Linked DNA regions of Xenopus tropicalis. The protein of the gene in region 2 binds, or shares a complex with, the protein of the main gene of each other region. Links are inferred from orthologs where the notes say so. Each region holds a gene or a part of one and is shown on either strand. Other genes may lie near its edges.

The links.
Region 1: ccdc151 (region 2) and efcab1 share a complex: the UniProt entries of both Homo sapiens proteins name them as parts of the outer dynein arm-docking complex. The link is inferred for Xenopus tropicalis from reciprocal best matches to the Homo sapiens genes ODAD3 and CLXN.

Annotation. Positions count from the first base shown.
Region 1 is NC_030682.2:51,306,625-51,311,858, reverse strand, and holds the start of efcab1 (EF-hand calcium-binding domain-containing protein 1), read right to left. Parts: upstream 2,974-5,234; 5' UTR 2,771-2,973; coding exon of another isoform or gene 2,750-2,770; coding exon 2,692-2,749; intron 799-2,691; coding exon 643-798; intron 562-642; coding exon 457-561; intron 1-456. UniProt on the Homo sapiens protein: Component of the outer dynein arm-docking complex (ODA-DC) that mediates outer dynein arms (ODA) binding onto the doublet microtubule. Seems to regulate the assembly of both ODAs and their axonemal docking complex onto ciliary microtubules.
Region 2 is NC_030679.2:139,194,535-139,199,668, forward strand, and holds part of ccdc151 (coiled-coil domain-containing protein 151), read right to left. Parts: intron 4,866-5,134; coding exon 4,788-4,865; intron 3,848-4,787; coding exon 3,668-3,847; intron 3,333-3,667; coding exon 3,297-3,332; intron 3,130-3,296; coding exon 3,025-3,129; intron 2,517-3,024; coding exon 2,391-2,516; intron 1,986-2,390; coding exon 1,863-1,985; intron 1,156-1,862; coding exon 1,012-1,155; intron 822-1,011; coding exon 661-821; intron 1-660. UniProt on the Homo sapiens protein: Component of the outer dynein arm-docking complex (ODA-DC) that mediates outer dynein arms (ODA) binding onto the doublet microtubule. Involved in mediating assembly of both ODAs and their axonemal docking complex onto ciliary microtubules.

The sequences.
Region 1 (5,234 bases), on a different chromosome or scaffold from region 2:
CCTCAGGGCCCTCCAGCTGCTCGCAAAAAAAAGATGTCCTGTGGGGGGGGGGCGCAGATCATGGGTATGAAGATACCATCAAGGGTTGGGTTGGGCATAAGACTAGCTATATCCAGGTTAACACAAGTTTGTGGCTTTAGATCTCTAAATGGGAGATTTGTAATGGTATTTATTTTTTATATGTTTAAAACAGGACTGTCCCATTGGGGGCCCAATGAGTCACATGTGGCTCTCTGGCTTTTTACCCTCCAGCATGTCCAAGATCTCTGAAGCCGCCTTAATATGCCTCCATTGTTTATAATAATCTGTTCCGTAAATAAGAAAAATAGGAGATATATTTCCCACAGTGCTGCTGGTTACAAAGGTAAAATGCTGATAATACATTTTGATCAATACTGCAAATACTGTATCAATATATGAGCTTGTGTATCCATGTATCATATAAAAACTTCTTACATTTTATCCTTTCTTCTAGAGTCCCACGTAAAAATACGGACAGGCCTTCCACCCATTCTGTAACACTGATGTAGCTGTCATTATCTTTGTCAAATCCTCGAAACACTAGAAGATAAAGAAGTTAAGGCCATGTCAAAAGATTCAACAACTGATTCTTTGAAATTCACTCAGATAAAAGTCTCCCACCTCTGTCCATGATCATATCATCTGTCATGCCAAATGTATTGTGCAGGATATTTCTGAAAGTGTTTCGGTCAATGCCACGCCTTGTATTAGGATCAATGGGTCGTCCCACCAAAGTATGATAAAGGCGGATGAGGCTCTCCACTTCATTCTTACTAACTGCAAATTAAAGATATATAGTGTAATACTGAAACAAAATTTTAGTTGAGCAGATCATGTCAAAATTCAACCATACTTTGAATGCAATAGCCATGTTTTCCCACAATGTACTGCTTTTTCCAAGAATCCTGCAAGCCTAATGTGGGCTTTGAATTAGATGCAACTTCACATCATTTGCACTGTATCCGGCACAAATGCGCCCCAATTATCAAAATGGATGCAAATGCGTGTGTACTTTGCCACAGTTACGCCAATATATATTTGCAGACTGCCTGGCATCAGTTCTGATATTCAGCCTGTGAATGCTGTCTAAGCATTTCTTTAACCCCAAGTTTGCTGCATCTGTTGACTCAGGGCCCTGAAGGAACCCAGGAGCTAACACCTGGATGCAAGTACAGGTATGGGACCTATTATCCAGAATGCTTGGGACCTGAGGTTTTCTGGATAAGGGATCTTTCCATAATTTGTATCTCCATACCTTAAGTCTGCTAAAAATATCATTGAAATATTGAAGAAACCCAATAGAATCATTTTGCCTCCAATAAGGATTGCTTATATCATAGTTGGGATCGAGTAAAAGGTAGTGTTTTATTATTACAGGAAAAAAGGAAATCATTTTAAAAAATTAGAATTATTTGCTTATAACGGAGTCTATGGGAGACGGCCTTTCCCTAACTCGGAACTTTCAGCATAATGGGTTTACGGATAACGGATCCTGTACATTTAATGAATATTGTTTTACAGGCAACTTGCTGCAAGGACATTTGCAGAGCCCTGCAGCCATTCAAGTAGCAAAAAAGGTGTTGTGCAAAGTGCAAAACTAATGAAAGACTGCAGTGTTTTTTTTGCACTTTGCAAAACTGCCTTCCATTTAGTAAATGACCATATAGTTTTCCTAAGTAAACTAAAAAAAGAGCACAAAATGTTCAACATCATCTGGCATTTAATACATGAGGTGTGAAACTCAGATGGCACTGAAAACACACTGCACATTCCAGTGCATGCAAGATTTTCTGTGCATGTAACAAGTGCACTGTGGTATCACATCATGCATGCAAATGAACAAGGGCACCACTTAAAGGCAACCATTTCTGACCCTCTAGAAAAAGGTTTTGCTAAGAAAACCAGGACAAGCCAGAAACAGCAGCTGATCCAGAGTAGGCTCGACCACCTCCCCAGGGTGAAAGACAGCCGACCGATACACCTCCTATACACAACCCTGATCCACAATACCTCCCATAGTGCACATGTATTGCTTTGCCTAGTTTGAAAATGTATAAATCGATCTAAAACAACTTCTATCTTGTGTTTCCTACTGTTGTGCATTTTTTGTACATGAAAAAGTTAAAAAAAGAAAACCAGGACAAACTATAAGTCCCAGTATCATTGCACTATATTAGTGATGATGAATAAATATTTATGCCAAGGATGCCCATCTTATTTTCCTGCGACTGTTTCTGAACCACAGTTGCTTGCGATAATTAACCCAGGTCCTTTCCAGTCTGATGTAATGTACAGTGCTGGGTGTATGGAGGATTCCCCCAGGGCACAATATACATAAATCAGGGATGTCTAACCTGTAACTGTGGAGGAATCACAACTCTCAACACCCCAGCCAACAACTTTTAGTAAGGTTCTGGGAGCTGTAGTTCAACTACTATTGCTGGATTACTACAGGTTGGACATCTACCATGTATTTACTGTCTGAAAGTATCTTAACACCAGGTATAATAATAATATAATAGAAGACGCAGGCTGTAAGACTAGTAAGGGGGTTAGGGCCTAGGAGATATGGGGCCCATGATTGTCGATATATGTTGAAAAAAATGTTTTATTCTACACTCATGAAACAGGCTAAAGAGTGGGCATCTGTGGGTTTGGTCTCACACTTACAGTGCTTGATGAGTCGGCTCAGGGCGTCCGCCTGCTTCTGTAGGTTTTTTCTATTCATGGAAGACACTTGTTGGGACATTGCAATTGCTGGTTACTTTTTCCTCTCAACTCTGAGTGAAACTGTTCGGAGCTTGTATACACAATCACCATGGCAACAACAACAACCAATCAGCGGCACTTCCGGTTTGATCTCCGTGGCTCGGATCAGCTCTACATGACATGCATTATGCTCAGAAGTGTTTCACTTACATTTCATAAGCTGCGAGCGGTGCTTACAAACAGCCTTACAAGGGAAGGGGGGGGGGAGAATTGTGTGCAAACAATGGGCTGCTGCAGGGGTGGGTATACTTGGGGACTAGCTTTTACAAAGGTAATTGAAGTAGCAGAACACAGAGTGGGGGAAGAGCTAAATTGTGATTTTTCTCTGCAAAAGCAGCATTTCTCTTAAGAAACAAGCATAAAAAATGAGGAGAAATATAATGATGCTGTGGAATGTTAAAGAGGCACTGAAATCCCAGACAACGTTTTTTTCATACTCATTTGGGGAGGCTAAAGATGGCCCATACACAGACTGACCTAAAGTTAATGTGAGAATTTGTGGATTCACTGCTGGTGTGAGAATGAACCTCCCAACTACCTCTTGCAGTTCCCACTGACTTACAGGGATACAGTGCAAAAGTGCGGGTGGGAGGGCTTTTTTTTTACCCTAAAATGCTTAGGATGTAAAAGTATTCATCGTGTTGGAGGACCTTCGGCAAGATTTTTATCAGCGTATGCAGTTTAAATTTATGTTTCTATTTCTTCAGACAGTTTAAAAAAGGCAAGGGGGGAAAGGCTAGACCTAATATTAGAGATGTTTTGTGACTTATAAGGTACTTAAATATTTATGTGTTACTGTTCCTTTAAAGGGGTAGTTCACGTTTGACTTTTAATATATAATATATTTTTGTTCAGCAGCTCTCCATTTGGTAATTCAGCAGCTATCTAGTTGCTAGGGTCTTATTTACCCTAGGAACCAGGTAGTGGTTTATACAAGAGAATAGGGAATATGAATAGTTAAGGGGCCTGGATGGAAAAATAAGTAACAAAAAATTACAATAATAATTAAAATTGTAGCCTTGAAGAGCAATTATTTTTGGCTGCCGGGGTCAGTGATCCCCATTTGATAGCTGCAAAGAGGCAGAAGAGAAAGGCAAATTATTCAAGACCTATAAAAAAAAATTAATTAGGAAGACCTATTGCAAAGTTGCTAGGAATAGGCCATTCTATAACATACTAAAAGTTAACTTAAAAGTCAACCACCCCTTTAAGTTTGTTAGTTTTATAGAGAGGCAGTGGGTACTGACATCCCCGGCACATTTTATACAGTGAAATGCAGTGTGTATTTGCATAACCAGCACATTATATGCAGTGAGAAGCAGTGGGTACTGATGGCAGATATTCAGGCTCTCACACTATAACACTGGCACTGATACATGGCATTGGCTCCACTAACTAACTAGAAATGAACAAAACAATGACAAAAGTAAAAAAAAAAATAGTAAGTGCAAAAAACAACAAGTATACAAAAGCTCAATTAGCTTTTTTAGGGGGAAAGAGTTAACTTACCATCCATCTGTTAGGATAGGTGATAGGGATATTATAAATGTCAGGTCAGGCAAAAAACAATTTAATTTCAGCTAGTGATTCAGCCTTTAGAACTGTATAGGGAGTGGGAGTGGGATGAAATCTGCAGCAAAAGTTGAGAGTTGGTTCTCAGGTAAAGTTTACAGTCTGCAGATTCTTCTTTTCAGTCTTCATTTCTGCACTGCCTTCAGTTTATAATATCTTCCGAGCCCTGTCTGCAGCTGTACTTTGATTGGTCAATTTTACTGTCTGTCAAGAAAGCTGTGCTTTGATTGGAGAATCCACAAGAAGGAAGATCCAATCAGAGCACAGCAGAACCGGCTTGCAGGAACAGAAGATTTCCAGGGCAGTGCAGAAGCGGAGTGAGGTTTTTTTTTTGTTTTTTTAATGTGCCAAGCAGGTTTGAGGAGGCTTTGCCTCCCATAGCCTTAATGAAAATCCACCTATGCTCAGCCTGTGTTTTTCTGTCCTTGCGTTGGAATCAGCATTCTTGCTTTCTTGCACCCAAATCCATTGCATCAACCCAGGTGCAGGCACATGCAGTGGTTTTCAGTGTGTATAATCATAGGCTGAGAATCCACCATGTGTGGCACTAGCCTTAGAATTTCTCTGCCACAAATAGTTCAGATTTCCCATTCACCCCAACTCACAATTAGCCACACCATTTTCCTCCACCATCTCCTGCCATCACAAAAAGCAGTTTACTTTCGCAACCAGCCTTTTCAGTTTTTGCAAGTGCCATAGACAAATCAATTCAGAGTGCATTTGTAGCAGCGTTTATGCTTTCATCCAAGATGGTGCTACACTCCTCTCCCCCCCTTCCCAGCCACAAATCTACTTGCCCTAGGCTTCTTACTGTGGTACCCCTATTACCTCTGTTGCACAGGATTAGCACAGATCTGCAGACCTGTCCTGCC
Region 2 (5,134 bases):
AGCTAATTAGTAGCAGCTACTTGTCACGGCTACTAAATGCTGGAAAATCCCCTGCCATAGACAATACTGAGAATTGCCTCTGCTAAAACACACAAAGAGACAATTATCAGTAAATTATCAGCATTGTCTTTTTTTGTAGCCTTGACAAGTAGCTGCTACTGGTAGCTCTGTGTGTCTTCACCCTTAAGGTGGCCATACACATAGGCCTTATATTAACAACAGACCCCAGTCAGCCACTCCAGACCAATTCAGCAGCCATACACGTAGCAATAACGATCGTTCCTACCCTCCACTGACGTTCAGGGCTGAATTGTCAGATATGGAGGTAAAAACAATAGAAATTCTACCTCCACCTGCCAATTCAGTCCTGAAAATTTTGCTTGGGCGCCTTCAATGGTGCAATCTGGGCAATCACAGGGGTGGGCATATTGGGAACAGGTCCGCTCCATTGGTGACCTTGTGCTCTTTACATGTATGGCCAGCACATATGGCTAAATATAGAACATAGTTCCCTCTGTTCAGGATGATGGCCCAAACAAGCATTAAGTGAGATGGTTCTACAGCTCTGCTAGCAAACCTTTCTGCAGATGCAATGATGTGACTGAGGATTTCCATGACCACATAAGACCACTCTCAGTGGTCACAAGGAAACATATATACCTGGACAATTTGGCTTCCCCAGAGTACTTCTGGTTACGGAATTCCTCCTCCAGTTTCTCCTTCTGCTCTTTCAGCCTCACCAGTGTCCTTTCATTCTCAATCTTTAGTTCCTCCAAGTGTTTGCTAGTTTCTCCCTGGGCTATGAAGCGCCTCACAATCTCCTGCAGGGTTATAGGGGGAACATGGGGTGAAACCTCGGTAGTGCTGCAAGACACGTGTCCCAACCAGGCATTCAGCCTCCAGGGCACTCTATTGTATGTCACATGGCTAATGTCCCAGGATTGCTTTGATCTCAATGAGAAACGTGAGAGCACTGTGGTATATACCACGTATTACTGACAGCCCCCTCACCTGAGTATCTGTCACGCCAGTGGCTTCCTTTATCCTCTGAAAGGCTTCCTGGAAGGTGCGTATCACCTTTTCTTCATCTTCTCCACTTGGCGTCTGTTGAGTGTCCACTGTAGCATCGTCTCCAGGCAAGGCCACTCGCTGAGCCTATAAAAGCATCACAATTTCACATTTCATCAGAACAGCCAGGATCCAAAATGGATAACAGAGAGTAACATGATGACAGGGCCATGCCTATGGTCTCATTTATCAACAAGTGGAAAGGAGCAAAACCAAAACGTGCATGGCACTATGATTTCTGCCCACTATGCACAGTCACCTCCAAGTGGTGCTTAGAATAGTGCAAGAGTTGTGCTTTTCTCTCTCCCTGATAAATTTCACATGGAAAAGAGTTGGGTGTTCCTGGCATGTCCTACCTTGACATTATTCAGCATGCACCAAGCAGCATTGCTGGGGGTGGGGGCGAAAGGCACAAGAGAACCCTTTACTTAATGCCTCAACTTGAACCAATGTAGCAATAGTCAGCTGTCCTCCAGCCAAAAAGTCCCACAATGCTTTGTATGCTTCTTCACATTAATCAGTTGGCTTCTGCTACATTGTTTCAGGAGTCAGACAGATACTGCATTAATAGCAATCACATTTAGAAACTGGCGCTTGCCCTCAGAGTAGCACACAAGTGCCCACACTCCCACATGCCTTCCATGCTTAGTGCAACTTGCACCCAGATGAACAGTATTCACTAACCTGGGAGATTCTTTGTGTCTCTGGGTTTGGGCACAGAGATTGGCAGAGTCATTATGAGGGAGAGATATGGGGTAAAGCTCTTTGGGTGGGGTAGGGAATCAAAACCTTACCCTTCTTTCCACGCGCTCAGCATGAATACGTCTCTCTTCCGCTTGCTTTTTGTAATTCTGAAGGGTGCGCTCTCTTTCCCTTCTTTCTCTTGTAACTTCTTCTTCCTGCTGCTGAAGGTCAGTCTGTCAACCAGAAGGTAAAAGAGCATACCATAAATACCCAGCGCTCAATGCACACGAACTATAGTAACTATACTATATAGTAGGGATGCTTCGAATCATGGATTCGTTTTGGGATTTGGCCAAGATTTTGCCTTTTTCAGCAGGATTCCGCCGAATCCATGCTCCTGGCCAAACCAAACCCGAATTCTAAAAAGCATCTGATTTTTTTGTCACGTAAACATGGAAGTTTTTGCCGCACAACCTTTAACCCTTCCATGATCTAATTAGCATTCAGATTCAGTTCAATATTCGGCTGAATCTTTTACCAAGGATTCGGGGTTCGGCCGAATCCGAAAAAAGTGGATTTGGTGCATCCCTACTATATAGGGATATTTCTAGAAGTAAAGGACTCCCTGTCCCTCGTACCCGCGCCTCATCCCGTGCTTGCACAGCATCTCTGTTCATCTTCTGAAGCTCCTTCAGCTCACTTCTCTGCTTTATGATCTCAGCCTCTATGAGATCCAGCTGAGTCTGAAATGTCAGGCTTTCCTCCTGCAGAGATAGAAAGAGAGCATTGAGAGAAGGGACTCCTGTTCTGTGGAGCTTACACTCTAATACAGTGATCCCCAACCAGTGGCTCGAGGGCAACATGTTGCTCACCAACCCCTCTGATGTTGCTCCCAGTGGCATGAAAGCAGGTGCCTATTTTTGAATTTCTGACTTGAAGACAAGGTTTGGAGGCATAAAGACCATATATACTGTCCAGCAAAGCCTCCTGTAGGCTGCCAGTCATCACTGGGATACCAAATAACCAATCACAGCCCTTATTGATCATCCCCTAGGAATTTTTTTCCTGCTTGTGTTGCTCACAGGTAAAAAAGGTTGTGGACCCCTGCTCTAAAACATAGGGGGAAACAGATAAAATACAGTGTGAGGGGAATCCTATCCTATTCCATACACAAAGGCAGAACCATAGAGTGACAATGACTAAACCCAGTGACCAGAAGTGGAAAGAAGTGGCAGCATGAAGCAGTGGCCAAGCTCTAGAGACTCCTGTTACCTGCATGTGCTCTCTTAGCTTTTGATAGACGCTGAAAATGTGTTCTGCCTCCTGGTTCTTCAGCTGCGCCTTTTCCAGTCGGTTTTCCAAGAGACGCATGGCCTGCTGAACAAAGGGCAGGAGAGACTTACTGAGGGGAAACCATATAGCTGACTAGAGGTAAAGAGAAACCCAAAGCCTGTTAGAAAGCTAGCACCAGTTGATTCGGCAATCGAAAATCACAAATGGTTCTGCAAAGCAAAGGAGGTTCAGACAAAGATATAATAATTAACCTGTTCTGGTACTTCCTCTTTGTCTGCAGCTTCATCCTGTGGATGAAATAAGTAAACTGTGAACAAAATAATTTTCAGATGAAACCTGGAGTCTGTAGGCCTCATTTACTAACAGCAGCCATTGTGCAAAATGCAAAAAAGTTGCTGCAATCAGCCATGGTTTTAAGTTGGCACACTCATTGTTTTTCAGAATCCCAGCACCTTTGCATGGGTTAAAAGTTTCAAGCTATGCATCAGTACTACCTCCTGCTGTAAAGCGCAATGGCATCCATACAGCCCCCACATGGACCTGCCATAGTTGTATGTGTAAGCTATAGCACAAACTATATAAATAACTAGAATTAAATGAAAGCTTTGCTGCATCTATTCACCTGCTCATCCTGTGAGGGTCCCTCCTCTGCCACCATCTTGCCCTGCATTTCTAGTTCCCTCTGCTTGTACTCGGTCTGCAGCTCTTCCAAATGTTTCCTCTTCCTCTCTGCCTGGTGGTGCAGGGCATTCAGGCGCTTCATCTTATCACACAACTTCTGATCCATGAGCTCAATGGCAGCCTGAGCAATGGCAAAACATAAAATAACACATTAGGAAATGATACATGGAATAGTAGAACCACAATAGTCAAAAAGCCTTCTTGCTGGACATCCCTCCTTTTCAGAAGAACAGCAACCCCAGGGTCTATATCTGTTGCTGGTAATGTGAGGTAGGGACTGCTCATTAAAGCTTGCTCCAGAAACTGCCATAGGAAGTGATTTTCAAGTCATTGCATTGTGGGGCTAAAGGATGTTTTGCCCATTGTAGCTTTACCTGAAATAACTGAAGTGGTTAAATTCCTTAGTGCGTCAGATCACTAATGTAACACCAGATAATAAAATCGCATTCATGTATTTATCCATAACACTGGCAAAAAATATCTGCATCAGTAGAAACATTGGGTAACAGTTACCCTGTATCGTATTAGGGGTACCCATGGCACAAATAAACACTCACCCCAAATCCCCCCTAACTGGCCTTCAGGCTGGGCCCCCTTAGCTCATAACAAGGTTACAGATATATAGAAACATTGGGGTAACAGTCACCCTGCTATCGTTCCAGGGGTACCCAGGGCACAAATAAGCACTCACCCCAAATCCCCCCCTAACTGGCCTTCAGGCTGGGCCCCCTTAGCCCATAACAAGGTTACAGATATATAGAAACATTGGGGTAACAGTCACCCTGCTATAGTTCCAGGGGAACCCAGGGCACAAACAAGCACTCACCCCAAATATTACTGTTGGTCACTGTTACAAAAAAGATATAATATTCTAAGGTCTAAAGCTTTTAAGATGCCGGGAGTTGTAGTATAACAGCTGGAGCACTGCATAAGGAAATATCTGCATCTGACATGGAGTAAACCTTTAGTAAGCAGAATTTACATCACACAGGCCATTCAATTCAGCGTGTGCTGATGACTCTCCAGATTTCTTTGCTCGTTGCTCACTTACAATTACCCACCTGCCCACTCTTGTTTTTCATGGCGGCTTTTTCCGAAGCATGTCTCTGAAATGCCTCCTTTATCACTTTCTCATCACCCTGAGCGATAAAGAAGGATACAAGTTACTCAGATATTATAGTGTATTAGGTCTAAATTGCAGGGCAAAAAAAATCTCAGTTACTAGGAAATCTCAATGTTCCACTGCAATTGTTAGGTTTAGGGCTGGATAGTAGAAGGTTAAAGGGCAAGAATCCTCTCTTATGCTATTTCTTCAATATGGTACAGATTTGTTCCCGGCAATTACAATAGCAGGTAAGGGGATTCTGGCCAATCGTTATACTTGCTGCACAGCCTGGGCACATCTCAG